Linked DNA regions of Ovis aries. The protein of the gene in region 6 purifies or fractionates together with the protein of the main gene of each other region. This does not show direct contact. Links are inferred from orthologs where the notes say so. Each region holds a gene or a part of one and is shown on either strand. Other genes may lie near its edges. The genes, in order: SMARCC1, ARID1B, PHF10, DPF3, BRD8, ACTL6A and SMARCD3.

What was found.
Region 1: the proteins of ACTL6A (region 6) and SMARCC1 fractionate together in Homo sapiens (co-fractionation; 8 studies listed by BioGRID and IntAct, with this or other methods). This does not show direct contact. The link is inferred for Ovis aries from reciprocal best matches to the Homo sapiens genes ACTL6A and SMARCC1.
Region 2: the proteins of ACTL6A (region 6) and ARID1B purify together in Homo sapiens (affinity purification with mass spectrometry; 5 studies listed by BioGRID and IntAct, with this or other methods). This does not show direct contact. The link is inferred for Ovis aries from reciprocal best matches to the Homo sapiens genes ACTL6A and ARID1B.
Region 3: the proteins of ACTL6A (region 6) and PHF10 purify together in Homo sapiens (affinity purification with mass spectrometry; 3 studies listed by BioGRID and IntAct, with this or other methods). This does not show direct contact. The link is inferred for Ovis aries from reciprocal best matches to the Homo sapiens genes ACTL6A and PHF10.
Region 4: the proteins of ACTL6A (region 6) and DPF3 purify together in Homo sapiens (affinity purification with mass spectrometry; 4 studies listed by BioGRID and IntAct, counting the BioPlex papers as one, with this or other methods). This does not show direct contact. The link is inferred for Ovis aries from reciprocal best matches to the Homo sapiens genes ACTL6A and DPF3.
Region 5: the proteins of ACTL6A (region 6) and BRD8 fractionate together in Homo sapiens (co-fractionation; 4 studies listed by BioGRID and IntAct, with this or other methods). This does not show direct contact. The link is inferred for Ovis aries from reciprocal best matches to the Homo sapiens genes ACTL6A and BRD8.
Region 7: the proteins of ACTL6A (region 6) and SMARCD3 purify together in Homo sapiens (affinity purification with mass spectrometry; 3 studies listed by BioGRID and IntAct, with this or other methods). This does not show direct contact. The link is inferred for Ovis aries from reciprocal best matches to the Homo sapiens genes ACTL6A and SMARCD3.

Annotation. Positions count from the first base shown.
Region 1 is NC_056072.1:52,090,186-52,093,685, reverse strand, and holds part of SMARCC1 (SWI/SNF complex subunit SMARCC1), read right to left. Parts: intron 3,472-3,500; coding exon 3,295-3,471; intron 739-3,294; coding exon 641-738; 3' UTR 1-640. UniProt on the Homo sapiens protein: Involved in transcriptional activation and repression of select genes by chromatin remodeling (alteration of DNA-nucleosome topology).
Region 2 is NC_056061.1:81,578,612-81,582,111, reverse strand, and holds part of ARID1B (AT-rich interactive domain-containing protein 1B), read right to left. Parts: intron 2,691-3,500; coding exon 1,907-2,690; intron 1-1,906. UniProt on the Homo sapiens protein: Involved in transcriptional activation and repression of select genes by chromatin remodeling (alteration of DNA-nucleosome topology).
Region 3 is NC_056061.1:91,178,691-91,182,190, reverse strand, and holds part of PHF10 (PHD finger protein 10), read left to right. Parts: intron 1-562; coding exon 563-696; intron 697-785; coding exon 786-935; intron 936-1,502; coding exon 1,503-1,616; intron 1,617-3,500. UniProt on the Homo sapiens protein: Involved in transcription activity regulation by chromatin remodeling. Belongs to the neural progenitors-specific chromatin remodeling complex (npBAF complex) and is required for the proliferation of neural progenitors.
Region 4 is NC_056060.1:82,481,867-82,485,847, forward strand, and holds the start of DPF3 (zinc finger protein DPF3), read right to left. Parts: upstream 2,801-3,981; 5' UTR 1-2,800. UniProt on the Homo sapiens protein: Belongs to the neuron-specific chromatin remodeling complex (nBAF complex).
Region 5 is NC_056058.1:47,263,308-47,266,807, forward strand, and holds part of BRD8 (bromodomain-containing protein 8), read right to left. Parts: intron 3,020-3,500; coding exon 2,970-3,019; intron 2,735-2,969; coding exon 2,612-2,734; intron 2,497-2,611; coding exon 2,416-2,496; intron 1,974-2,415; coding exon 1,909-1,973; intron 1,275-1,908; coding exon 1,138-1,274; intron 601-1,137; coding exon 382-600; intron 1-381. UniProt on the Homo sapiens protein: May act as a coactivator during transcriptional activation by hormone-activated nuclear receptors (NR). Isoform 2 stimulates transcriptional activation by AR/DHTR, ESR1/NR3A1, RXRA/NR2B1 and THRB/ERBA2.
Region 6 is NC_056054.1:208,341,945-208,346,234, forward strand, and holds the start of ACTL6A (actin-like protein 6A), read right to left. Parts: upstream 2,801-4,290; 5' UTR 2,632-2,800; coding exon 2,607-2,631; intron 1-2,606.
Region 7 is NC_056057.1:115,434,475-115,437,942, forward strand, and holds part of SMARCD3 (SWI/SNF-related matrix-associated actin-dependent regulator of chromatin subfamily D member 3), read right to left. Parts: intron 3,361-3,468; coding exon 3,149-3,360; intron 1,434-3,148; coding exon 1,391-1,433; intron 517-1,390; coding exon 394-516; intron 283-393; coding exon 160-282; intron 1-159. UniProt on the Homo sapiens protein: Involved in transcriptional activation and repression of select genes by chromatin remodeling (alteration of DNA-nucleosome topology).

The DNA.
Region 1 (3,500 bases), on a different chromosome or scaffold from region 6:
CACTTTTCCCCATCTCTTTAAATTTTGGTGCGTCCATGTGTGGCAAAAGTCTCATGAAACTTCACCATCAGCACCATTCTTAGCTCAGATAAGCAGAAATAAGGTCACTTACAATGCCTTAAGGTTTGTCCCCTCTGGCTATCCCCTCTGCCCATCAATATTTTTTGGTTCCTATTAACTTAGGATGCTCTCCTTTAAAGCAATAATGACCAAAAGGAAAAAAAAAGAAAAGTGATAATGATTATAAAGCATTATCCATATAAGCATAAGACAAAGCAAAAACAGAACAAAACTGCAGGAGAGCAAAAAATGATACAGACATAGACCACTAACGTTGACAGGACCTGCAGACACACTGTCAGCATACCCCACAGCGGGTCAGGGAGACGCCAGGTATTTCAGGGCGACCAGGGCACACTGGCAGCAGTGGCTTCCCCTTGAGTGCTGGAGGAGGACTAACACAGCAGGTGTCAGAGCACGGAGAGGGGTGGCAAGAGGAATGGGGAAAAGTCAGGGTGCGTGCTTGGGGCTGTGAGAAGAAAACTCCTGAAAGAAACCCAAGGAAGCGGAGGAACACAAGTCTTGTCATCCCCACTCCAGCTGGGGGCACTGGGCGCGGACGTCCCCTGTGTCTTTCGGGCTACGGTGCAGCTGAGGCTGGTGGGCCAGGAGCGGGAGGTGGAGGGCCTCCGTCCGCAGGTGCTGGAGGTGGTGGCTGCTGCTGCGGCGGAGGGGGATCTGCAAACACATCCAAAAGGAACTTGTCATTGCCGGAAACACAAGGGGCCTGGGCAAGAGCCCATGCAGAGAAACAGGACTTATAAAGGAAGTTTCTTTATGGCCTGTGAGGCACGGCTGCTGCTGAGGGCTACATGGGGCGGTCCACCTGAACCTCCACGTCACCACCTGTGTGGCTCCCCTGACCCACGCGGCTCGGGGGTGCGGAGGTGTCTGAGTCCGCCCCACTCTCAATCCCTCCAGACCTTTGCAGAACTTAATTATATTTTGATTTTATCATTATCTTAATGGTTCTCACTGCTAATTCTCTCTCTTCAGTTAAATGATAAGCTCCTTCCTGGACAAGTTCTGTGTCTTCTTTGCGTTCTCTCAGAGTGCCTAGCCTAGCTGGGGACGAAACTGCCTATCAGAAACTGCTGGCTTTTATGAACTGTCTCCACCAGGGTCACAGAGATTGACTTGAGGCAGCGGCCAACAAGCTGGATAGCCTGGAGAGGCCCCGCAACTCCTGAACTGTAGTCTTTAAATTTTTGGCCAAAACTAGGTCAGGTCCTGAAGGGAACAATTAGGAAAGGAGCTCTTTCCTATTTCTACTTTGACTGCTTTAGTGTACAAAGCAACCATAGAGATACTTCAATCCAGGGTTTTAAAAACTTCAAGATTTTGCCAGGGATGAAAACGAATTAAACAATTAAAGCACCTCCTTGCTTACCAGCTAATTCATCCAACCTTCCCCTCAGGAGGTGTCCACCCAATTGCTAAGGCTCTTCAAAGCGTTTTGAAGCCCACCGATTTACTCCCTAGTGTCACCTTTCAGGGGAGCAAAGTAAGGCCTGAAGAGGGAAGTGACTTGCCTGATGAGGCCTGCCCAATGCCCTGAAGCCAAATCAGCAGCTCAGGATCCCTGAAATTCATCTGGGGCAGGAAGTGATGGGGAGCACCCCAAACATTCCACACCCTCAAGGTACTGCACTGAGGGCCCTTCAGGATGGAATCATGTATACAAATCAGGTGTTATCAGCAGGACAGGACAGTGGTAAAGACCAATGATATTATGTTTGCAACGGGGATGGCAGCGTGGTCAACCCTCCCAGTCAGCCAGCACATTTTTACACTGCCTGTGGGGCAGCAAGGCTAGGAAAAGAGGTACGCACTAGACTATGATCTCTGATCCTTGATGTAACAACAAAGATCGCTTAAAAAAAAAAGTTTTTTTTATTTATTTGGTTGTACCGGATCATTAGCTGCAGGATCATGCATTAGTTGCATGCAGGATCATTAGTTGCAGCATGTGGGATCTAGTTCCCTGACCAGGGATCAAACCCGGGCCCCGTGCACTGGGAGCGCAGTATTAGCCACTGGACCACCAAGGAAGTCCCTCGTTTCTCAACAATGATCCTGTACTGACCTGGCTCAAGTGCTGTCTTTCTTCTGTGCACCTAAATCTGTCCTTGTTCCTAGGAGTCCAATGAGAAAGGAGATGCACCTGTGTTGATGGCACTTGTCTCCTGGCCCTAGGAAGTCTCCCAGAGAACTATAGTGAGCTCAAGCCACTCAATAGCCTTGTGTAACTTACGGTAAATCCTACACTACTATCCATTTGTTCATGTTTTATTTTCCCAACTAAAGCTCCTGGAGGCCAGGAATACCTCTGCATCCTAGCTCTCTGTATTGTATTATAAATTCATTATTATTACTTTATGTTTTTGTATTATAAATACATTATCATTTTATTATAAGCTGTATTACTATAAACAAACAGGGGCTGACTCCACCTCATGAGAACCCAGGTCCTCCTCTAAAAGGACCTGGGATCACAGATGTGGCGGGGTACATGGCCACTGTCAGCTGCATTTTGGAATCATTACCATGGTCCACAGGGTAAGAGGGCAGGCCAGGCTCTGATGCACCCCTTTGGAGGCCAGGGTTGGAGCAGAACAAGGGTTCCATGGCAAAACCGAGCTGGTTTTGCACACTGCCACAGACACTGTTCATCAGCATATGTGCCCGCTCGATGGAGCCCGCTAAGACTTCAAACTCCTTCTCAACACAGCCCTGAATACTCTTTTCTAAGTCTAAGCAGCCACTACCAATATATTGGACAAAAACTTATTATTATTCTTGCCCTAAACCAGACTCTATTCTTTTCTTTACACTTACCTCTTTTAAATCCTGAATCCATAAAAGGCTCCTGTACAGAAAATAACTACCAGTAGTTCTGTGTATCGACTCAGATTCAAATTAGATAGCCTCAAACAGGCATGGGTGAGGTGTGCCCTTGGCCTTGCCAGAGCCCTTGGTGTCACGAATGCATCCACGAAGGCTATGGAAGGCTCCTGACTAACTGGGAGCACTCTGTGCTCACCACCTGGGTACCTGTCCACCAGGGATGCTGAAGCGCAATGACCAAAGCCCAGGTTTCAGAAGCGCCCCTCACAGGCCATCCTGTCCAGGGATCTGTCACACCCCAGAGGGAACAAACGGTGCTTGCCTCCCTTGTGTACAGCTCTCCCCAAAAGTCCCGAGGGTAGTGCCTCCCCCCACCTGGGTACTTACACATGCCGTTAGGTGCCGTGAGGGGTACCCGGGGTCCTAAGATGTTTCCTGGGATTGGAGGCATACCAGGAGGGGTGGGGCCACTCCCAGGGGGGTGGATGCTGGCTGCAACGGTGGGCATCATGCGGCCTGGCATGGGCTGCCCAGGCATCATGGAACCTGGGCCTGGTATCTGACCTGTGGAGGGAGAGTCAGAGTACTAAGGT
Region 2 (3,500 bases), on a different chromosome or scaffold from region 6:
CATGATTAATATTAACTCTACACATGAAAGAATAGAACATAACAAAAGAATAAGAAAAAGCAGAATGTTAAGTTAAAATATTGATTTAAACAAAGGTTCCAAGGGACAATTAAACATGGTCATTTCACGTGGAGGTTGACAACTGACTAAGAAACTTCTGTGGGTGAAGAGCTTTCTGCTTTGCAGGTTAAACAGAAGTGGGAATGATTCTTTCTGTATTTGTCATCTTTGACTCTATTCACAAATGTGTCAAGGTAGTATCTTCAGAAGGCTGGTGAATATGTAGAATATAAGCAAAATTTAATTCCCAAACAGCATGCTCACTGATAGAAAGCTTTCATTCTTCCATGCCGTTTTCTGTCTGAGCTCTGGACCACAGAGCATGCTGCTGACAAGTGCTAGCATTTTGATGGTTCTGGTTTTTTAGGAGCCTGGCCTGAGATGGAGGCCAAGAGGAACGATGAGAGGAAAAGTTTTTAAGATTTGTCACAAGATGGGGCTGGAGGGGAGGCCTGTCGTGTGTCTGAAATTTCAAGGGAAGCTGTCTCAGGAAACTGGTGGAAGCACATGGTGTGAGCAGCTGGAACTCCCCACAGCATCAGCCAGGCCAGATGCCAACTCCTGTGTGGGAGGGGCCGTGGGTGTCCACTTTTATTTTAATTTCATCTAATTTTCAAATTTTCTAAGAGAGGCACATAATACTTGTGTAATAGAAAGGCAAATTTCATTTTAAAATCAGGAACATAAGTTTCCCTAGGCTGGTATAACATGCACTAAGAATTTTTTTCCAAATTTAAATGCATTTATTTACTTAAATTGGAGAAGGAAATGGCAGATCACTCCAATATTCTTGCCGAAAAATCCCGTGGACAGAGGAGCCTGGTAGGCTATAGCCCATGGGGGTCACAAAGAGTCAGACATGACTGAGTAACACACACACATTTGCTTAAATATCTATACACATACACAAATACATGCTTATTTTTACATATATATTACCATATGTAACACGGTGCCCAGGATCTGTTTCTCTCTTGCCTCCAGCACGTCCTCTATGTAGAACTCCTTACTTCCCCCTACCCCGCCCCTTAATGTCCAATGATTAAAAACATTGGTCATATCTTTAAAATATTTAATTTTCTCATCACTGCAAAGAACTTTGAGTCATGTGATTTTGAGATTTTTGGGAAAAAAGTTTGGATAAAACTGAACTCTATTATTTCCTTAGCTGCGTTAAAAGTATTTCAAAAATAATGCAGAAAAACTGTGTGTATTCCCAGATTTTCCAAATCTCTAATTAGGATTTAGGAGATTCCACCCGGATGAGCGTGTGACAGCAGTGTTCACCTGAGAGAGTTCCTTGGCCCCATCAGCAGTGCTGCAGGGATCACCTAAATTCTATCCACATGTGAAGTTCCATAGAGCACATTATGTCTATATATACAGCATAGTCAGTTTTCTGGTTTTGCTCCAAGGGGAACTCACTGTCTGTATGTCCTTACCAAAGTTACAGAGTGGCTTGCTGTCAAATTTTTTCAGGCCACCCTAGTGTTCCATCAGCCTCACAGCTGTTCTCACATCATGGCAGAGATGATGTGTTTGGTTAAGATAAAATCTTTAAGCCCCAAATACAGTCCACAGTCACTGAGAAGTCCCCGTCTCTCACCTGGGGCTCTGCCCTCTCACACTAGTAAACACTCACATGCAAGAAATCCATTTTAATTCTCCCTCTCCTTAATTCAGAGGAGGGCCTTTCAACTATTGCTCCTGCACAAAAGCACGTCCTGATAGTCTGCAGTCACAGAATTTCATCCCTTTGAGGTTATCCAACTACATCTAACCCAAAATTAAAATTCTAGATGGCAACAGGAAATCATTTCAGGAGCAGAGCCTTGGGAACGCTTACCGATATCTTTTGAGGTAATCTTTCGCCTTTGTTTCAGGACTGGCTGTGAGGCTTCCACGGAGCCAGGAGGGAAAGTGATCTCCCTTCTGATGGGGGGCGGCTGGGGGGGCGGCCCGGTGACCTGGGACGTGGGGACGGTGGGCAGGACCTTCTGCATCTTCATGGAGGGGAGGAAGGGGGACTTGCTGGGAGACATGCGGCTCTCCAGGGAGCGCTGGAAGGAGGCGGGGCTGGGCGCCCTGGAGATGTGGTTTGGCAGTGAGGGTGGCGTCTGGTAGGACGACTGAGGCGGGCGCGTGATGGGCTGCATGGAGGCTGATGAGGACATGTAAGGCTGACGCTGGCTGACGTGGGAAGGCCACTGGCTCTCGTGGTTTATCCTCTGATCAGGGACCATCATGTCATCGGTGCGGTTCATGCCGGGGTAAGGCGGGGCCTGCGTGGGGCCGCCCGGGCCTTGCCTGTTCTGGTAGGGATAAGGCATATCATTGCGGGTCGCCCACATGCTCTGCTGAGGCCCTTCGCTGGAGGATGACTGCATCGGGCCGCCCATCATCTGGGGCGGGATGGCGTGCGGCTGTATCTGCCCTGGGCCCTGTATCCTCTCTCGGTTGTAGGGGTATGGATACTGTCCCTGCAAGGGCCTCCGGTCCGGGCCGGAGTAGGAGCTCCCGTACTGGTTGTACATCTCCTGCTGCTGGCTGCCATACTGCATGTTGTACATGTCTCCCTCGTGGCGTTTGGCTGGAGGCCCGTACATGCCATCCATATGGCGCTTGTAGTTCTGAAAATTCAGAGACAGATCACACTAATGTGCTTTTACAGGTATAATCACGCACTTAAATTAGGCAAAATAGTTATTACCTGGTGGAATGTTCATTTCAAAATGAATATGGGAAGCTCCCACGTCCACGGATAGCAGTTTAGGTGCGATGTTCAGCACTACACAAACCACTGCATGTACTCTGTCTGTTTTCACGTACTTCAAAACTTCCGTGGGGAAAAACCAATCCTCCTCTCCTGGTATTCTCCAGGTGGATTTGGGAGAGCAAGGCGAGGGTGACCACCACACAGGCCGCACGGAATGAGGGCTTGGAGATCACAGGGATGGCTTGTGTAGCTGGCCGGAGACCTCACCACAAGTGACAGAGCGCTCTGAGGGCCAGCCCGAAGGGCTCCGGGACTAAACAGACCCCTTGGGCCTAACTTTACAGAAAAGCCTCCACACAGAGCTTGGCTCCTCACTCTGACCTGTGCCCCTGACACCTGACGTTGGATGAACCCCACTCCAGCCTCCAGCTGGTCTGGGTCTCCTCCAGGAGAACCTCTGAGGACAGGGCTGGTATGGCCTCACTGAGCTCCCCTCCCAGGAGGCCAGGGCTTCCACCACCGGATGGGCTGGGAAGCTCCTGATGAGAGCGCAGGACGGAGGCACGCATATGGCGGAACACTGTTTAAGGTGCTGATTTGATGATACAAGTCTCTATACAAACATGCTCTGGTCAAATTAATGTTTAAAACCCCTTCTATTTTACAAGAGGTCTTAGACCTGAAGAGTTGTTTAGTGACAGCAAATTCCTGTGTCTGACATGCA
Region 3 (3,500 bases), on a different chromosome or scaffold from region 6:
TCTTTCCTAAATATATTAGTACAGCTTTTTAATATAAAACCATGGGAGTTCATCTCGACAATTGGTATAATCTCATACTATGAGTTTAAAAAACTGTTGGTATGACTCACGTGTGTGCTGATGCTTTTGGTGAAATTTGAATTGGTTCTATAATATTTCTAGTAAACTGGATTTGAAGGCTAAGAATGGAAGCATATTGATAAAGCCTTTGTTTTTCTCACCTGATACCCTGTTAATTGCCAGTGGTTAGTGTGTGTTATTATTTAGCTCTTGTTTCTAGTAAAGGGATATATGTTTGTATATAGTACATGGAGTCTTAAAGAAGTTTGGTTAAAAAATTGATTTCTTTGCCATTGCAACTTTGGTAATCTCTTTCTTTATAACTTTGATTTTATATTATGAGTATTATTTTTTCTTATTTTTGAGTATATTAAAATAAAATTTTGCTTTGAATATTGGAAAGCTTCTTTTATGTTGAGTAGTTTGGAGGAAACTCAGTTTTGAAAATCAGTATGTTCAGTTAGCTTTAAAAGAGCCTCTGTACTTTTTTTGTCTGAAATAGGTTTAACAGCGTTGCGCAGTGATGAAGTAATTGACTTAATGATAAAAGAATATCCAGCAAAGCATGCCGAATACTCTGTTATTCTCCAGGAAAAAGAGCGCCAGCGAATCACAGATCACTACAAAGAGTATTCTGTAAGTATCGAGGTAACCAGGATTTTGGCTTGGGAAATCACATTTTATAAAGTTAGATGTAACTTCCAACTGTAATATTTTTATTTCAGCAAATGCAACAACAGAATACTCAGAAAGTTGAAGCCAGCAAAGTGCCTGAGTACATTAAGAAAGCTGCGAGGAAAGCAGCTGAATTTAACAGCAACTTAAATCGGGAGCGAATGGAGGAGAGAAGAGCTTATTTCGACCTGCAGACGCACGTAGGGTCGCTAACGGTCACCAGCCCTGAGCTTGACTGGCCGCCCGTGACCTTGGGCTGCTGAGTGCCGCTTTCGCGGTGCCCTGCACTGGCAGCGTGTCCTCGCCTCCCCTGAACCGAGGCTGCCGTCTGTGTGCCTGCTGCTGTGTGCCTCTCATCGGCGTGTGTGATGTGTTCCCTGCTGGGTGGTGGGCGTGCTGCTGCAGGGGTCTGGTAGCTGAATAGCTTCCCGTGTGCTGGGGTGGACGGAAGAGGTTTCCACGGTAGCTCATGCACTTCTTGCCCTTGCTGCGGGAGGTGAAACTAGTACTGTTTCCGTTTCATGGACGAGGCAGCTGAGCTCCAAAGGCTTCTTGAGTAGCCCATACGCGGTGAGCAGACATACTGCCTCTCCTCAGTGGCCGTGGTGAACAGCCAGACACGTCCGCCTGTAGAGCTAGAAGTGCCAGCTGGTCCCTGGGTTACAGCTCCTGGGAGAAGCGCAGTGCAGGGCAGGGGGGCCTAGTTTCCTAAAGGCGTTACCTCTGTGCTTGGAATCAGGTTTGTGCTTCTCTTTGTGTTAATTCAGGTTATCCAGGTGCCTCAAGGGAAGTACAAAGTGCTACCGACAGAGCGAACCAAGGTCAGCTCCTACCCGGTGGCCCTCATCCCCGGACAGTTCCAGGAATACTACAAAAGGTACCTGCTGGGGCTTTCTTTGCTGTTAGTACTGGGGTTGGTGAGAGACGTCACGGCCTGTGTTTGTCTCCTGGAAGTGCCTAGCTCTGTGAGCTTCGCTGTGAGAGGTGTAAGGTTCTTGCCGGGGTTCTCTGTCTTCTGCGGGTCTGTGAAGAATGTTCTCTGAACTTGAGCGTCTGCTGCTAAAGCCTGGGACGCTGCCTCCCTGCTCACCTGTCTGTGCTTCTGGGACGAGAACCCGGGGGAGCTGCAGACCGCCGTCCCGAGGGCGTGGCCCGGGGCCCAGCCGCGCTGGTTGGAGATGCCCAGGCTCCCCCCTGCAGCCGTGGAGTCTGTGCTCACAGAAGCAGGGGGACTTGGAGAGGCGGGAGTGGCCCATGGGGAGGAGGGCGGTGGCCCGGGGCTGCTGCTGCCCTGGCCTGGCTGCTGCCCCGCTTGGTGGCGAGGGTGCCGCGTGTCTCTCCTTCCCAGCCTCGATGGAACCAGCTACTTTTGTCAGTCTCAGCCTTTGCCTCCGGAGAACCCTTATGTTTTCAGGAGAGAGAATATTCTTTAGACAGTAGTATTTAAAATAGACCATAGTATTATACTTTTGAAAGTCAGACTGAAATCATAGTGTTACATAGTCCAAGCTTACTCAGCTCACCACACCTCACCTCTCATCTGAGAGACGGGCTTGAGGCAAGAAAGAGAGTTTATTTGGGGAGCTGGCTGACTGAGTAGATGGCAGGCTAGTGCCTCAAAATAACCATCTTCTGGGGTCTGGATGCCAGGTTCTTTTATACATCAGAAATGGAGGGAGGTGAGGAAGCAAAGGAAAAATGACCATTAATTAATCTTGCAAACATCTCCTAGAATGTCAAGTCTCAGGCAGGGGATGTGTTAATTTCTTCCCTCCTGCCATCTGTGGGTGGACCCCGCGTTCTGATTAAAGGCACTTTTTGTCACGTAGAGGGGTAGGGTCCTCTGAGATAGGACATTCTGTTTGATTATAATAACAAAAGAACGAAAAGCTAGTCAAACAGTTCAACATGGAGTCAGAATTGGCTGCTTCTCTGCAGCAGGGTGTCAGCAATTTAACATTTCTCGTTTTGGACGAAGCAGATTATTGGGTGATAGCCCTGTGTGCTCCCCCGCACCCCACCCTTTGCTTCCTGGTGGGATGTCTTGGTTGAGGAGGATGCTCATCCGTGTCCACTCCCGACTGAGGAGCCAGGGTGTGGCCGTGGTGTGGTCCTGCGGCGGCAGCGTGGACACGCTCAGCAGGCCACGTGCCGGCTGCCTGGGGAGGGGGTGGCCGGTCCCTAGTTTTAGAGGAAAGAGTGATCACGTTGGTTAGAATACCTGCTGCCCAAGTAGGTTTTAAATGCTGTGCTCCTGGAAACTGTGTTTCTGAAACGGTGTCTGAGCCGTGGCCCGCTGCGACTGCCCCGTGCTCGTTTATCTGACGCTCGCATCCGCTCTGTGAGGTGGACTTGCTGTCATGCCTGCTTCCCGTGTGAGGGCGAGGGGCTCACGCGCTGACGGCTCAGGATGGCGGAGGCGAGGGGGTCAGGCAGCTGGATTTTGTGCCTGGCTCTGTGTGGCCGCAGTTTCATCCTTCACTGCCGCCTTCACTGCTGATGCTTCTTTGACCGGGTTGTTGAGGGCAAAGGAGAGAGGCATTTATCTTCGATAATAAGATTCAAATGTATGCTTTACACGGTTAGGCGAAAAGACGTTTAGGCTTTTTACTGGTTACATGTCCCCATTTGAGCACCAAAGTGAAAAAATTATTTATTGCCTCTAATCATTTTTCAGAAGTATTTGGGATTAATATTAAGGCTGTTATCATTGTTCAGAATTAGTGCATTTCTCTTTAATAACAGAAGAAAACTGGAAACCTTCT
Region 4 (3,981 bases), on a different chromosome or scaffold from region 6:
GCAGCTCTAGTAACACCTCCCATTTGTACTTTACACTTTCTGAAGTGTTTTCACATCCATTGTTTCATTTGGGCCCTTCAGGGGGTGGTAAGCAGGGCTTAGCGCAGGGAAGGGAGGCCAAATGAGATGCATGCCCTTCTCCCCTTATGAAAAGATAGGTCAGATTTACTACCTCCTGACCTTCAAGCTGTCCTGTCATCCCAGGTGTTTCCAGCAGGAACACCTGCTGCCTGATGAGACCTCCACTGCCTGGGAAACCTTCGCTCCAGCCCCACCAGGTGACAACTAGTGCTGCAGCCTCTGGGGCCTCCCCATATCCAGACCCTGACCCCAAGGGAGTCCCTGCCCTCAACGGGTTGGGGGTGGGGGGGTGGTGACAAGATGAAGGCAATCCTCTGGCTGGGGATAAAAGAAGTGAGTCTCTGAGTTCCTGGGGCATTTATCCTCCACCCCCAAAATAGTGGTAGTCCTAAAGTGGGAGGCAGGTAAAGAGGTTGAATTCTATGATGCCATGAGTATTTTTTTTAAGTTTAGAAGAAAGGAGTTGCCTATACTATCTAGAAATGTACTCCATGAATCTTAGTGAGTCTAAAAATGAAGGGGGGGTCTAGGCATATACCCCAAAGAACTGAGAGCAGGGATTCAAACAGCTACTTACACACCCATGTTCATAGCAGTACTATTCACAATCGCCACAAGGTGGAAACAACCCCAGGACCCATCCCTGGATGCATGGATAAGCAAAATAAGGCATATATATACAGTGGACTATTACTCAGCCATAAAAAGGAAGGAAGTCCTGACACATGCTGTAACACAGATGAGCATTAAGAACACTATACTAAGTGCAATAAGCCAGTCACGAAAGGACAGATATTGTATGATTCCACTCATATGAGGTGCTTAGAACAGGCAAATTCATACAGACAGAAAGTACAATGGTGGTTACCACACTGGGATGGGGTGGGAGGAGGATGTCCTCATTAAAACAGAGGATGTTATTGTTTAATGGATATAGAGTGTGTTTAGGATGACTTTTTAAATTCTGGAAATGAATACAGAATATTCTGGTAGTTATACAACACTATGAATGTACTTAATGCCAGTGAACTGAACACTTTAAAAAAGGCTAAAATGGTATGTCTACATGTCATACATGCTAAATATACATGTTATGTATTGATACATCTTACCACAAGTACAAAAAAATTTAAGGGACTGCCTCTGTAGGCTGGAGGTCAAGGAGACCATTTTGTTTTTTCTTTCATTTTGCCTAATTCTCACAATTCAGGCTTCTGTGAATGTTCTGATGGTTTTAACAACCCCCTCTTCCTCCTTTAGACATGTAGAAAATTGCCAAGGGAGCTAGCTGTCAACCAAAGGAAAGCCTGATAATAATGCCTCCAGAGGAATCTGGCATGTTCTGGAGGCATATCACTGAATGAGAGGCAGTGAATTCCACTTTAGACACTGCTAATACTCACCTGCGTAAGGCCAGACTCTGTGTCTACTGAACACCTCCATTTCCTCAGCAGCATCACGGGGTGCAACAGAGGAAGCTCACTGAGACATCAGTACAGGCCCACCCACTGCAGTTCACTGAATGGTAGGGCATTTGCAACTGCCCAAATGGAAATGAAGTAAGCATTTATTTCCATGTTAACTGGGATGGGTGCCATGTTAGAAGAACAGTAGATTGAAGGAGACTGTAGATAAATGAAATCCAGAGAAGAAAATCTTTTGCTCGGTTCCCTTTCTTCCACCATACATTTACACAAAACAGGAAGAAAAAGAGAGATGTTCTCAATAATTCTAGTCTTTTGCACAACCAAAAACATAATCTGAGTGCTTGTAAACAGAAAAAAATAGGCCAATTAATCTTCTCATTTCTCTTTCCCGTCTTCATCCCCTGGTTGGAGTGTTAATGAGGAGAAAAGTGTTCAAAAGGGAGCATCAGAAGAAAAGACCACGTTCTCAGTGGGCCACCACCTGGCCCTCAGCCTTGGGCGCTGAGAAGAGAGAGATCAGAGCCCAGTGGCAACAGAAGGTGGCAAGACAGGAACCAGAGAAGATGAAACTACAGGAGAGCCTACCAGTCTTAACTCCCTTTTAGAGCCACACTTAAAAAATGAGGAGGAATTCAAACACTGGTCCCTAACTGTCCTCCTCATCCTTCCTAATCCACCATAGTCAAGAGGCCCCAGTTTTTTACTGGAAAGGAATTTGGCAATCAAGGTGCATCACCCTCACCTTTAAGACAAGGAATATGTGGCTCAGAGAAGTTCTGGGTCTAAGGTCTCATAGCTGGTGAGCAGTAGGGCTGAAAACTGAGCTCAAATCTCCGGGATCCTCTCCCTGAAGCTTTTACTTCTGAAGCTACAAAAGCATAGTCACTGGTGAGAAAGTATAAGAGGGATGGAGTTTGACATAAGGACATAGGGATGACTGGTGAAAGTTTGAGAACTGAAAAACCTTTTCTGGTGGAGCTTCCAGTTGAAGTTAATACCACAGCAGATTTTTGAAGTGAATATTCAACAATGAGAAAAACTCACTCATTTCATAGCAACCTAAGATGACAGCAAGCTCTGGACTCGAGGAGGGAGGAGAGGGTGCAAAGGGGGATTAGACACGTATCATCATTGTTCCTTGGACTCAGAACTAAGTCCTGGAGGTGAAGGTCTCAACGTGGGCTATTTGAACCCTATTATTAGGAGCTCCTGCCCCTCCCTGCTTTCAAACACAGCCCCCTAAATCTTAGCCTGCTTTCCTTGTAACCCCCCACCTACTACTACTATTCACAAACACACAACCTAGACATTTCCAGCATAGGTTGCTCCTCTTCTCCCCTCCCCTGACCCAAACACCTCCTAGCCACTGCTTTTAAAACTCTGATGCAAATCACAGGCTTCAAAAACCTTCCTTCAGTGACAGTTTTATGATGCTAGCTCCATTCATCCATATGGGTTGACAGACTGTGAAACACTAGTAACCGGACCAATAAGAAAAACAGATTACAAAAACACCACAACACCTCATCTCTCCCCAGTTGCTCACACAACTAAAGAAAACTTTGGAACTTGCAATAGATCATAACATCAGTCTCTCTTGCTGTTAAACAATCATCTTCTCAGAGTTCCAGACCACACAGTAGTTTTATCCACTTACCTATCCCCTCCGTATCCCCTCTCCCCAGGCCACTTCTTTATCTTTCCTTGTTAAATACCTACATGTTTAAAGATTATTTAATGCTAGGGTCATGCTTACATAGGCCCCTGCTGGAAAACCATGGCTGGGCAAAAACTGTTTCAGTGGTTGTGGCATTTCAGGGGCTTGCCACATTGGGCTACATTTGTCTTCTAGTGACTTTCAGAACACTCAGAAACCACAAAAGTTACTTTGCAGAGGTTGGGATAATAGACAGGCCTGAATTCTGATGCTTTTCATGACCCACACCCAGCACCACTACAATCAGGATGGCTGTACTTTCAAAACTGAAACATTAGCCTCAGTTTCTTTTCCTTTTCTGGTGCAAGCTCAAAACAAAGCTTGGTTGACCATGGCATTTTATTTTCTGCACTGATCTGAGCAGATGGCTCTGGAACAGCTTTAGACATTATGGTGTTTCTCAGATGTACCTAAATTTCAGCCACCTGCATGGTTCCAAAAAGACAAAGGAGGATGAGAAGTCTCCAATTAAGTTGCCTCTGAATTCCAGGCCACTTTCTAGAACTAAGCAACTCCCATTCAACTGGAGACCTCTGAATGTCTCCCAGGTGGTCTGCAACCGCAGCAGTTCTCTGTGGCGATGCCTCCATTTGGGTTCTGGCAGAAATTAATAACCTTTATGGGTATCTCATCAAAACCAGACATGCTTCCCACTGAAAAATAATGTGTGCTAATGAAGTTTAGAGAATTTAAGGCTTCCCCCCGCCCTCACCCCAGTGGCAACCAGAAGCAGATGGAGAAGGTGGTTCTTAGGCA
Region 5 (3,500 bases), on a different chromosome or scaffold from region 6:
AACAAAGGCGAAGGCTACACTCAAGCTTTCCTTTATTACCACTTCCCAAAAAAAGCTCCAGCAGTTGGCCAAACTTCATGAAACTAAAAGTTAATATCCAAAGAAAATAATTGTAGACCCGGGGAAACTCTAATTTTCAAATGTTATGAACAAGAGTCCTCTGGAGAAGAGAACCAAAATAATTATGGTTTCAGATACCTCAGGACCCAAGGATACTATCAACTACTTGTTTTGTTTTTAAATTAACATTTAACTAGGAGATCTCTTCCTCTTTTGAACTTTTTTTCCATGTATATTTTAGGTTATATTTTAGGTCCCAGGCACTCCCTTCCAAATTACTAAATCACCACAGCTCTCAAACACCCACAGAAGTCTCCATACCAGTCTGGGGCTAGTAGGCAGGAGGCTGCCCTTCTTCAAGAGCTCTGACAGCAGAGGGGAAGGGGGTGGAGTTGCTTTCTGTCCAAGCATCTTTTTCTGGGGTGAATCATCTGTTACTGGGGTCATGGGGGCTTCTAAGGGTGCAGAGCCTGGAGGAAGGGTGTCAGGAATTCCAGGAAACGAGGTGACTGGGGTACTCGGCAAAGTCCCAGGGGTTACCTAAGAGACAACAGAGAACCTTTATCTGACTTCTCAAACTCAGGAAGGTTCCCTACTAATCTGGATGGGTTAGTGTATCTAACTATTACTGTATTAGTCCTGAGCGGAACTGCCCAGAAACCCTCAACCCCTCTTGCTCTTAATCACACCTTTCTCCCTCCCAAATTTTTCTCTTCCACCCACTCAAACCCAAAATGACCCAATCTTTCCACCCAACTTGCCTTTTATAAACTCCTTACCCACTACCAATATTGTATTTACAAAGAAGTCATCCTATATTTCAGCAAGAATTTCATAAGACCAGTACACTTACAAGTAATTCCTTAACTTAGTCTTTTACCTATTTCTAAGAACGGTTCAAAAGGCTCAATGTTTTTAGGTCCATTCTTATCCTAAAGCACAGAACATGATGAGTCTTCAGCATTCAGACCAAGAGAGGAAACAGTCTTTAAGCCAAAAGTGGTTTCCTCATTACTCAGCTCTCAGCTGGCTTATTGCCCCTTGCTGATCAATTCCTGTGGATGGAAATACACTCACCCCAGAGGCGGCCTCTTCCATAGTGGTTGCAGTCAAGTCCGCAAGTGGATAATCACCTCCAGGGGAGGCAGAATCTATAGGAGAGCGGACCATCACAGTAGGTAACCTCCGAGGGGGTGTTTTTACTGCTTGACGGGCTAGAACATAAAAAAGGATTTCTGTCTTCAAGATTAAAAAAATAAAACTAGACTCTGCTATTATACAACAAAAGACAAATAGAGATGTTGTATTACTAAAGCAGTGTTAAGAATCTAGATTAGAAAGCTTTCTTTGCAAGTTTTTAGCCTAATTTTTCCTATGAGCAAATTCGTATACCGTAAAAGTTCCTAGAGTAGGAAAGTAGTTTAAACATCCTTCAGTATCCTCTACAACAACTTGAGATTCTGCTTTAAACAAGGAAAGACCTTATTGGTTCAGAGCATGTAATCCTGGAGTTATAAATGCTTAAGTTTCCCCCCTTATCCAGTGACTGAGCTATTCTCAGTCTTTTTACAGAATCTGACTTCTAAAACCTTGTTTATGTTCAGTAGGTTATTATCAGGCTTTTGTACTTAAAAGAACACAAGGTCAAGTGAGTTCTGAATAGAGCTCACTTTCTAAGAGCTTCTTCCTGGACACAAAGGGACACTTTTATTCTGATGAAAGAGAAGATGACAAAGGAAAGTGTGCAAGTAAATTGGAATTAGTGGATTCTGTGTTAACAAATATTTTCCGCCTGCCATCAACATGCAGTACTGCACAGTCAACTGCTAGTCATTAGGTTCACCTTACCCTGATATGCTGCATCTGTAGCCTTCCTCTTCACTTCAGCCTCCTCTTCCTCCAGTTTCTTTTTCCTAAAGAGAAAATTAAGGGTTAGATCCTAGCCGACTCTAGCTCCTCCACAGTTCATAGTGCCCTCACAAGGAAATTTTTTTTTGCCAGGCTAGCTCTTTTTAGAGGAAAAGCCTAAAGGAAAAAAAAAAACACACACACACACAAACTTTATCAGCAAAATAGGGAAGTTTGAGTATACTACCTAACTACCAGTTCTTTACCTCAGCAAACTAGAGCCACTTTTAAGTTAGAACTAAGTTATGTTCTCACGTGAAATGTTCTATCACATTACCTTCTAAGACTCACCACCCCCTCCCAGCTTCCAGGCCACTCTGCAGCTGTCCCTTTCCAAAAATCTCTCAAGTCTAAAGGGGTAGCAGATGTAGGAAATAAACCAGATTACATAAGGAGTAAAGAGGGCAAAAAGAGAAGGAGTATAGATGGAAAAATAATATAACCCACATCGCAATGTCATTGCAAAGTTCATCCAATCTGCTGTCCATGTGCCCAGCTTGAATTAGTTCTGCATCTCTTTTCAGTCGTCTGTAGGATGAGAGGTGGGTAGACTAGGTTTTTCAATCTATTTAAAAATTTCTGACTAGAGTAAGGTAGCCCCATTTGTCTCTCCCAACCATTTTGCATTCTCTCTGGTATGTACCTATATTTTTCCTGGGTTTCTTTTATCACTTTCTTTAGTTCCTCAACTCGCTCAGCAGTCAGTTTCCGAACAATGACATCTTCAACAGTTTCTACCACTTCTCCCTTTTCACCCCGTTTCCGCCTATGGAAAATTTTAAAAAACACATACAGACTTGAATAAGAAGAACGTTATTTCTACTCCCACTTGCTTTCTTTGAGGCATCTTCACCACATAACCAAAGATTATTACTATTATATTTTTACAATTTTTTCATACCATAATATAAATAATTTCTTTGTTTTAAAAAAAAGCAGACTTCTACAGTAAATATTCTCCACTAAAGAGATTTGGTTCAAATGCCTGGCTCTGTACTCACTTTGGGGTCTCCGTGGTCTCTAGAAGCTCTGAGTACTGGGAAGCACAGTGCTGTGGAAAAAGTGAAAACATGATGACCAAGCCTAAAAACGGACGACTTTTTAAAATTTCAACATAATACACTAAGGTTTAGACAGGAGAGCTATATTTAAGGTATGAGTAGCTTAGGACAAATTACTTTGCAATCAAATCAGTTCAAAACAATCAACACCATAATACAGAATACAAATATGTATTTGTATAATATGTAATACAAATTCTGGCATGGAATTTGTGTATTGGGGAGAGACAAGCTAAGAGCCAATATTTAATATCTACTGAGTAGTTACCATATACATGGCACTGAACTAAATGTTTTCTAGGTATTATCTCAACAAAATCTTTTAAACAAGCTTGAATCAACTTTTATCTCTATTCTACAAATCAGAAAACTAAGGATCATGGTTCAAAGTTTTAAGTAAAATCATATTAAACTCAGATCTGTCTAATGTACAAGACTGGGTTTTTCACTCCTATGCTACACTGAAAAGAA
Region 6 (4,290 bases):
ATACTGGAAGCTGACTTTGCGAAGAGGTAAGAAGGCTGTTTTACTTTTTTGTTTGGACAAGGGTGCCCCAATTCACAGGGAGAATGATTTTGAGAAGTTTTTATGATTAGAGATGGGAAGGGGGGCTGTGGAATGATAAAAGTAATGAAGTATCGAAGATGGACCGGTAGTATACCTGTTTATTTCTGTCAAGGAAAGGAGACTGAAGCAGAGGAGTACCGTGTAAGATAGACACAGGAGCAATGAGTAGGCCCAGAAACCAGTTATGGAAAGTGTGAAAATCTGGATGAACTGTGCATTAGATCTAAAGCGGAGTGTTAGGTCTGATCAGGAAAAAAACACTGGAATAAAAGAGCTACCAATTTTAAAAATTAAACTACAAACATTCATTTTATAAGCAAGTTAGTTAAAAATACAGTTTACTAAGTTAATTACACACAAAATGTGGGTGGGAGGTTTCGTTGCCTTTTACAGTAAACCTTTTGGGAAATGTGACCCACTATAAATACTGGTCATACAGTAGCAGCTCAAACACAAAATCATACACTTATTTTTGTCAGTTTTAAATACTTTATATGTGAAACAGGCTTTAAGATATACTCCTCTACATGAACAAAGTGATGTTTATTCTGAATATCTAAATCATACATGAATATGCTGTGGTTATATACTTGAAAAATGACTTAAAATTTTTTTAATGAGAAAAGGTTTTACTGAAATGCCTTTTCTTTATCCCAGAAGTTCCTGTTGCCCATTTGCTAGAAAGTTATGTAACTCTAGGCTGGTTAATCTTTTCTATGCCTTATTTTCTTCTTTAGTAATATGGGGAAAAGTAGAACCACCTCCCATGGCTGTTGTGGATTAACTGACAATGCATGTATTAAATACAATGCATTACAAGCCTCTGTCATGAAGAACAGTTCCTGGTACACAGGATGCACTCAATAAATGTTGACTGTTGCAATTATTGGTATCCATTTCTACCTTACTCACATTAAAATACTCAGTGGACAACCTTTAGGTCCTTAGATGAGTGAACCTGAGAGTCAAAACAATCAGCAGGGACTTCCCCATAGACAGCAGCCCACCAGGCTCGCCCCTCCCTGGGATTCTCCAGGCAAGAACACTGGAGAGGGACTTCCCTAGTGGTCCAGTAATTAAGACTCTGTGGTTCCCACGCAGGGGGCTTGGTTCTGTCCCTGATCTGGAGACTAAGATCCCACAGGCTGTATGGTGAGGCCAAAAACGAAACAAAACAAAAAATAGAGTCTGCAGCCTCCACGAGCACGTATACTCAGCTTTTTTGTCAGAATTACATCTTCAGGTGGGGAAAAAGTAAATCATGAAGATCCACTAGGCTTTCTCCAAAGTAACAATGGAAAACTGATTCTTACACTTCAGAAATCAAAACCAAAAACATATATGGAGAAGGAGAGGGTGAGGGCCAGCGTGTCACCTGAGCAGAAACTCAAGCTTCACTTCAAAACTACTAAAAACTTTGAAAAGCTTATTTTCATCTCCTACCTATAATATTCCATCCGCTCAGAAAACAGTATCCTTACTGAACACAGTAACAAAAGCACGACTTTGAGTTTCTTTCTTCTCTAATTCATCAAAAACATGAATCATATACATCAATGCTTCATCTAAGCATCTCGAAAAAACGGAGGCTCCAATTCGGTAGATTTAGAGTGGGGCTTGAGATTTTACATTTCTAAAGAGCTTGCAGGTGATGCTGCTGCTGCTGCTCCTTGGATCATACTTTTAGTAGTAAGTGCAGCATTACCGCCGTTTAATCTTCACAACCACCCCAATGGGTAGGAATTATCATTCTACAAACGACGAACCTGAAGTTGGCAAAAGTTAAGTAACTTACCCAAGGCCAATGAGCTTACTAAGTGGTGAGGCTGATATTACAACCCAGGCCCATGGTAATCTTTCACTACACAGGAGCCCACCCATCTTTAAGCAACCTTAAATTGCATATGTTCCTAAATTACGCCGGTGCAGAGTCGCCCACGAATAAGTCCGGAGCATCCACAGTCAACAAATAGGGAGAAGTTATTGAAAGGCGTGAGGCTGCGTGAGCGCGGATGGAGAAGGAGGCTGTGTCCTGAGTGGCCACGACTCCTCCAATCAGTTCCACTCCTCGCGGCTCGCTGTGCCACCTCCGAGACGCCGCGGAAACCCTCCAGCCACGCCGACGAACTGCTGGGACCTCCCAACTTTAAACGGGCGCGCACACCGCGACAGAGCCGGCTGGGAGAGAGGTGACCCTGCGGCCAGTCACTCCAGCCGCGGCTCTCCGGGCCTGGCCCGCGAGTGGAGCTGCCCGACCAGCCCCGGACCGCGCGCAGCCCCAAAAGTCGGCTCCTCGGCGGCCCGAGGCTGGAAGGGGCCGTAGGGGGCGGCGACTCCCGGCGCCTGTAGCGCTCGCCGAGCCGGGTGGGCTCCGGAGGCGGGCAGAGCGCGGGGCGGGGATAGGGCGGGGAGGCCGGGGTCCCCAGGGGGAGACCGGAAGGGCCGCCGGGAAGGGGAGGGCTGGGGGCGGCGGTTACAAACCCCACAAGCTAAAAAGGCGCGCTCTCCCGACCGACCGCACTCACCTCCCCCGTATACCCCGCCGCTCATGGTTGCTGTCGACGAGACTTCTACTCGTAAAGGCCACCTGGCGAAATGACTGCAACGGCTGCGACTGCGGGTCTGCAGAAGCGCTAGCCCCCGACTCCCTTAACTTCCACCACCACCCCCCTCAGGCAACAAAGCGGCGGCCACACACACCCGGAACGCAGTCACACTTGCTGTCTCCTGCTATCGGCCAATCACAAGAGGCCCGGCTACACTTCAACCAATAAAAATAAGGCTGTGCTACAGCCTTGTCGCGGCACAGCCAGTTTAGCCAATCGAAGGCAGCCATAGGGGCGGGGAGAGAGGAAAGCGACGGAAGGAGGGAAGGAGTTGGGTTGCGGAACCGGGGAGGCGGGGCTTCTTTAGTGGGAGGGAAAGTGGGGCGGAGGGAGCTGGAGGGGGAGGAGGAAGGCTGGAGGCAACAGTCTGGGGCGGGCTCAGGATGTAGCTGGGAGCGGAGGAGAGGTGGGAATCCGGTAGAGCAAGCTAAGCCTCTGAAAAAGAAGTCTGGAATTTGAGAAAGTGTCTCCACCAGGAGTACCCGTGGTTTGGGCTTGTAGTGAATGAGGGTTGGTGTTTTTTTGTTTTTTGTTTTTATTTTTTTCAGAAAAAGTATTTTCAACTAACTGAAAAAATTGAATGTTATCCTCCACTTTGGGGTAGAGGGCATCAGTAAACCAGACAAACCGATAAGACCCTGGAATTTTAAAAGTGGTTACTAATAATTAAAAGAAGGAGATGACACAGTATCCCAGTTAACTTTAGTAGCGCTTAAAATGTGTCATCAATTCCTTTTATCCTGTGAGGCAGGTGTAATACAATGTAATCAGTCCTCACCTGAGCGAGCACCTAATCCTAAACACATCTCGGAACGGTCTGTTCTTAGTCCCCTGTGTCTACCAACCCAGTCAGATCACCGTTGTCCCTCTCCCAGGATTACTACAACAATTTGTCCCTTTGCCTCTTAGCAGGCAGCTTGATCTATAAAAACTCCCAAATCACGGTCATGTTGTAAATCCTTGAGGTTAATAGCCGTCCTTAAATTAGTTTGTCTAGAGTCTAGACATATAGGTAGTTTTTAAGAACAATTGATTAACTCCATCAATCTCAGTGCCACAGAGTGGCAGAAAGTGATTGTAGGATAGGGAACAAGGCTAGTGAGAAAACCCTTTACTATTCACTTAGTGTAATCTCGGTTGTTGTTCACTCACTAAATCGTGTTTGATTCTTTGTAACTGCATGGACTGCAGCCCACCAGGCTTCCCTGTCCCTCACCATCTCCTAGAGTTTGCTCAAACTCATGTTCATCCAGTCAGTGAAGTGAAATGAAGTTGCTCAGTTGTGTCCGACTCTCTGGGACCCCATGGACTGTAGCCTACCAGACTCCTCCGTCCATGGGATTTTCCAGGCAAGAGCACTGGAGTGGGTTGCCATTTCCTTCTGCATCACCAGATGGTGATGCCATCCAACCATCTCATTCTCTGGCCTTCCCTTCTCCTCCTGCCTTCAATCTTTCCCAGCATCAGGGTATCCCAATCATTTAGAAACATCGTTTACCCAATGAGATAATGCATAAGTCAGCAAAGTATGGCCCCAGGGCCAAATTACCCTGCCTTGTTTTTGTTTTAATGTTAATTAAAAAAATTTTTTTAATTGAAATAT
Region 7 (3,468 bases), on a different chromosome or scaffold from region 6:
GGCCACACAGTCAGAAGCAGGCCTGGGCACGTCTCTCTGGACCACCCTCCCGCAGCCAGGGCTGACTTCCCCAGCCCTCGGTGTACACATCCAGTACCGGCCTCAGCTCAGCCCCATACCCACCCCAGGACACCTGGAGAGACCTGGGCCAGGACGTACGTCATCCAGGAGCTTCCCCTCCACCCGCAGCTCCCAGGAGGCGATGCTGCCGTCAGAATCCTCGGCATCGGGCTTCGCAGGGTTAAAAGTATTGGAGATATAAAGACGCAGCTTGCGCTTTTGCTGTAGAGATAAACAGTGTCATACAGAGCCAGTTCCCAGGGGGCCAGCCCTGGCTTCTCCCTTTCAGGGACTAGGACTTGGCGCCCTCACCCCACCCCCAACCCAAGGCACCTTCATGGGCCGCTTCAGAGCCTCCTGGATGTCCACCCGCTTCCTCATGATGGTCTGATCCAGTTTCCTCTCAAACGCCAGGAGGTCCATGTAAGCCTGGGACTCCGGGACCAACTCCCGGATCTGGAAGTGGGCAGGAAGCGAGGCAGGGAACCAGGGGCTCAGCCAGTCTTGCAGCTGGAACGTGCAGGTGTCACGTGGCCCCAGGAGTGTGCGAGTGTGGCGGGCAGGGAGCTGGCCACATTCAGGGCAGGGAACTTGGACAGCGCAGACGGGACCTCTGAATCCAGCCATGAAGGCCTGGATGTTACAGGGATGAAACTGCTGCTCCCACTAGAGATATCCATGCATTTCATCACTAGGGGAGGCCGAAGCAACCATGGAGGCCAGCAGGTGCTTAGGGCTTCACCTCCTCATCCTGTCCTTTCCCTGTCGCACAGCCTCTGGGTTCCCTTGGGCACCTGTGAAGTGGTCAGGGGCCCCTGGGGTCCCTGAGACAGGAGATGTCGCGGCTTGGGCCTACAGTGACATCTCATCCAGATGTTCTGCTCGAGCTGGGGTCTCAGCCGTCCTCCAGACCCAGCTGGGCCTGGGTCCCCTTACGCTGCTGGGCCTTCCGGCCAGCTTCTGTTCCCTTCTCTCCTCTGCCAGCCTGTGGTCCCCGAGCCCTCAGCCCCTCTTTGTCCCCTGCCTTTATGTCTCTGCAGACCGCTGGAATTCGATCTGCAGCCCCCCCCCCCAGACCCAGGATCCTACCCCCTCTGGCTCTGCGTTCCCCTCTGCCCCACCCCATCCTTTTGGCCCTGGGGGAGCCTCATTTCTTAATTAGCTTTTTAAACAAAAAAAGTGAAAGTGACTATGATGTTGAAGCGCTGCTCCTGAGGGGGGAGGGGAGGTGGCCCGGGGTGGTGGTGGCGGGGAGTGGGGGGGAGAGGAGGGCGGAGCAGCAAAGGGTTGGGGGTGGGGTGGGCTGGGGGCTGCTGTGAAAGGCACTCACCCTTTGAGGGAGGATTTTGTCAGCCATCTTCCTCCTCTTGGCACTGTACATTTTTTAAAGAAAAAACCAGGTTACCATGGCGACAGATCTGGGAGTAACGAGGCCACCTGCTAAATTATCCCGACATCTCAGCCCGCCTGGCTGGGGTTCCCACAGCCCGCTCATCTGCCCGCCCGAGGGGCTATGCCGGCGCCGGCCGTGTGTGGCTCTGTCCTCTCATGGGGAGCGGAGGTGACTCTGTCCTTTCTCTGGCCTGGGAGCCCCTTTTCTGCCCCGCCACATCCCCAGATCCAGAGAAATTAGCCTTGGAAGGGGCTCGGAGCAGGGGCGCTGCAGAAATGTTTGGGGAAAGCTGGGCAGAGGCAAGGACAGAGTGGGGGGATGCATTGTGAGGACTTTTTTTCCCTCCTCTGAGAAGGGGCACACAATCCAAGGTGGCTGAGCTGGTGGGGAGGGGAGCTGACCCCCTTGCCCCATTCCAGAAGCAGGAAGTGATGGTGTGAAGCTGGTGAGGACCAGCACCCCAGCCACCCTGGGCTAGGAAGGGGACCCTGATGGGCAGGGGGTGCTCATGCCCTTGGACCACCTGCCAGCAGGGCCAAGGGACACACCCACAGGTATCCAGATAGAGTGGGTACGGATGTTCCCCTCTGGGGTGTGGCTGGTGGGCTGAACCTGGGGTAGCAGCTGGGACTTGGACTCTGCTGGATCCACTAGCCGGTTCCGACTCCCAGAAGGAACCCCAGAAAACCCTTGGCGAGTAGAAATTAGAACCCAGCCTAGGGAATGGCTGCATACTGCCCCCGTGTGGTGGTCTCAGCCACTGCCCCAGCCCTGGTCAAAAATCTATTCAAGGCTAGACAAGCAGGTTTCACTAAAGGTCTGGTTTGTTTTGAAGAAACTATCTCTGTGAAACTCTCCAGTTGTACAAGATAAATCAGGGACTCTACAAAAGAATGACTCACTTCGCAAAGAATTCCTCATGGGTTTCCTATAAATGGTGAATTTTCCTTGACATGTAAAAAAATATTTAATAATGAGGTAAAATCCACATTGCACCTTTTATAGGACTCCATCTGGTGCGCAAAAGGAAGCATGTGTGTTTGGCTAAACAGTGAAACCCAGAGGGGTATCTTCCTTGCCAGGCACCAGCAGGGGCTTTTGGGGGTGCCACTGGCTGGCTCAGACAAGGAAACAGACTGGCCCTTGGTGGCTTGAGGGCAGACCCGTCCAGAAGACAGACCGTGGCAACTCCTCAACATTTGAGTGCCCAAGAATCACCAGAGAGCGCCAGGGGGCAGAGACTGCCCACCATGGGGCAAATCCCAGGCTCTCCCGCCACTGGCCAGGGATTCAGATTAACAAGATCCGGAGTGGGGCTTTCGAGGAGTCAAGCCAGGGGCGCTTCTGAGGAAGGCGCACTGGACAACCGCGCTAGGAACCGCAGTGTAAAGCTCGGCCCTGAGCCCTGGTGCCACAGCCCCGCCTCCATCCCCCGAGAACCAGGGGACTGGGGTGCAGAGAGGGACAGAGCAGGTGACAAGGAGAAGGGCGCGACGGTCACAGCCTGTCTCCACGGTGTGGGCACACAAAGAAACCGGGACAGTGCCCCCTCAGCCCGCCTCCTGGGAAAGCATCCCACCCGGGACGCCTGATCCCTGCTGACCCCTCTCCGCCCGGGCTTCCCACCCCGTCCCTCCGGGTCCCGCGTCCGCCCCCTCCGCGCTGGGCACCCCCCCTACCCCCACCCCCGCTTACCTGCGGCTCCGCGCGGGGGCGGTGGGCACCGGCTGGCCCTGGCTCTGGGCCTGGCTCTGGCCGGGCGGGGGCGCTGCTCGCTTGCGGGCGGGCTCCATGCCCGCGGGGGCCAGGCCGGGTCGCACGGCGGGGCTGCCCATGTACGGGGAGCCCGGGGGGCCCATGGGCGCCCCCTGGTGGGGCATCCGGGCTCCAGACGGCATCCCGGGGCGCTGGGGAGGGGGGTCGGGGGGGCGTGAAGCAGACACAGGCGCCCGGCGGTCAGAACCAGGGCTCCGGGCTCCAGGCGCGCGGAGCTACGCCTCCCCCCGAACCCCGAG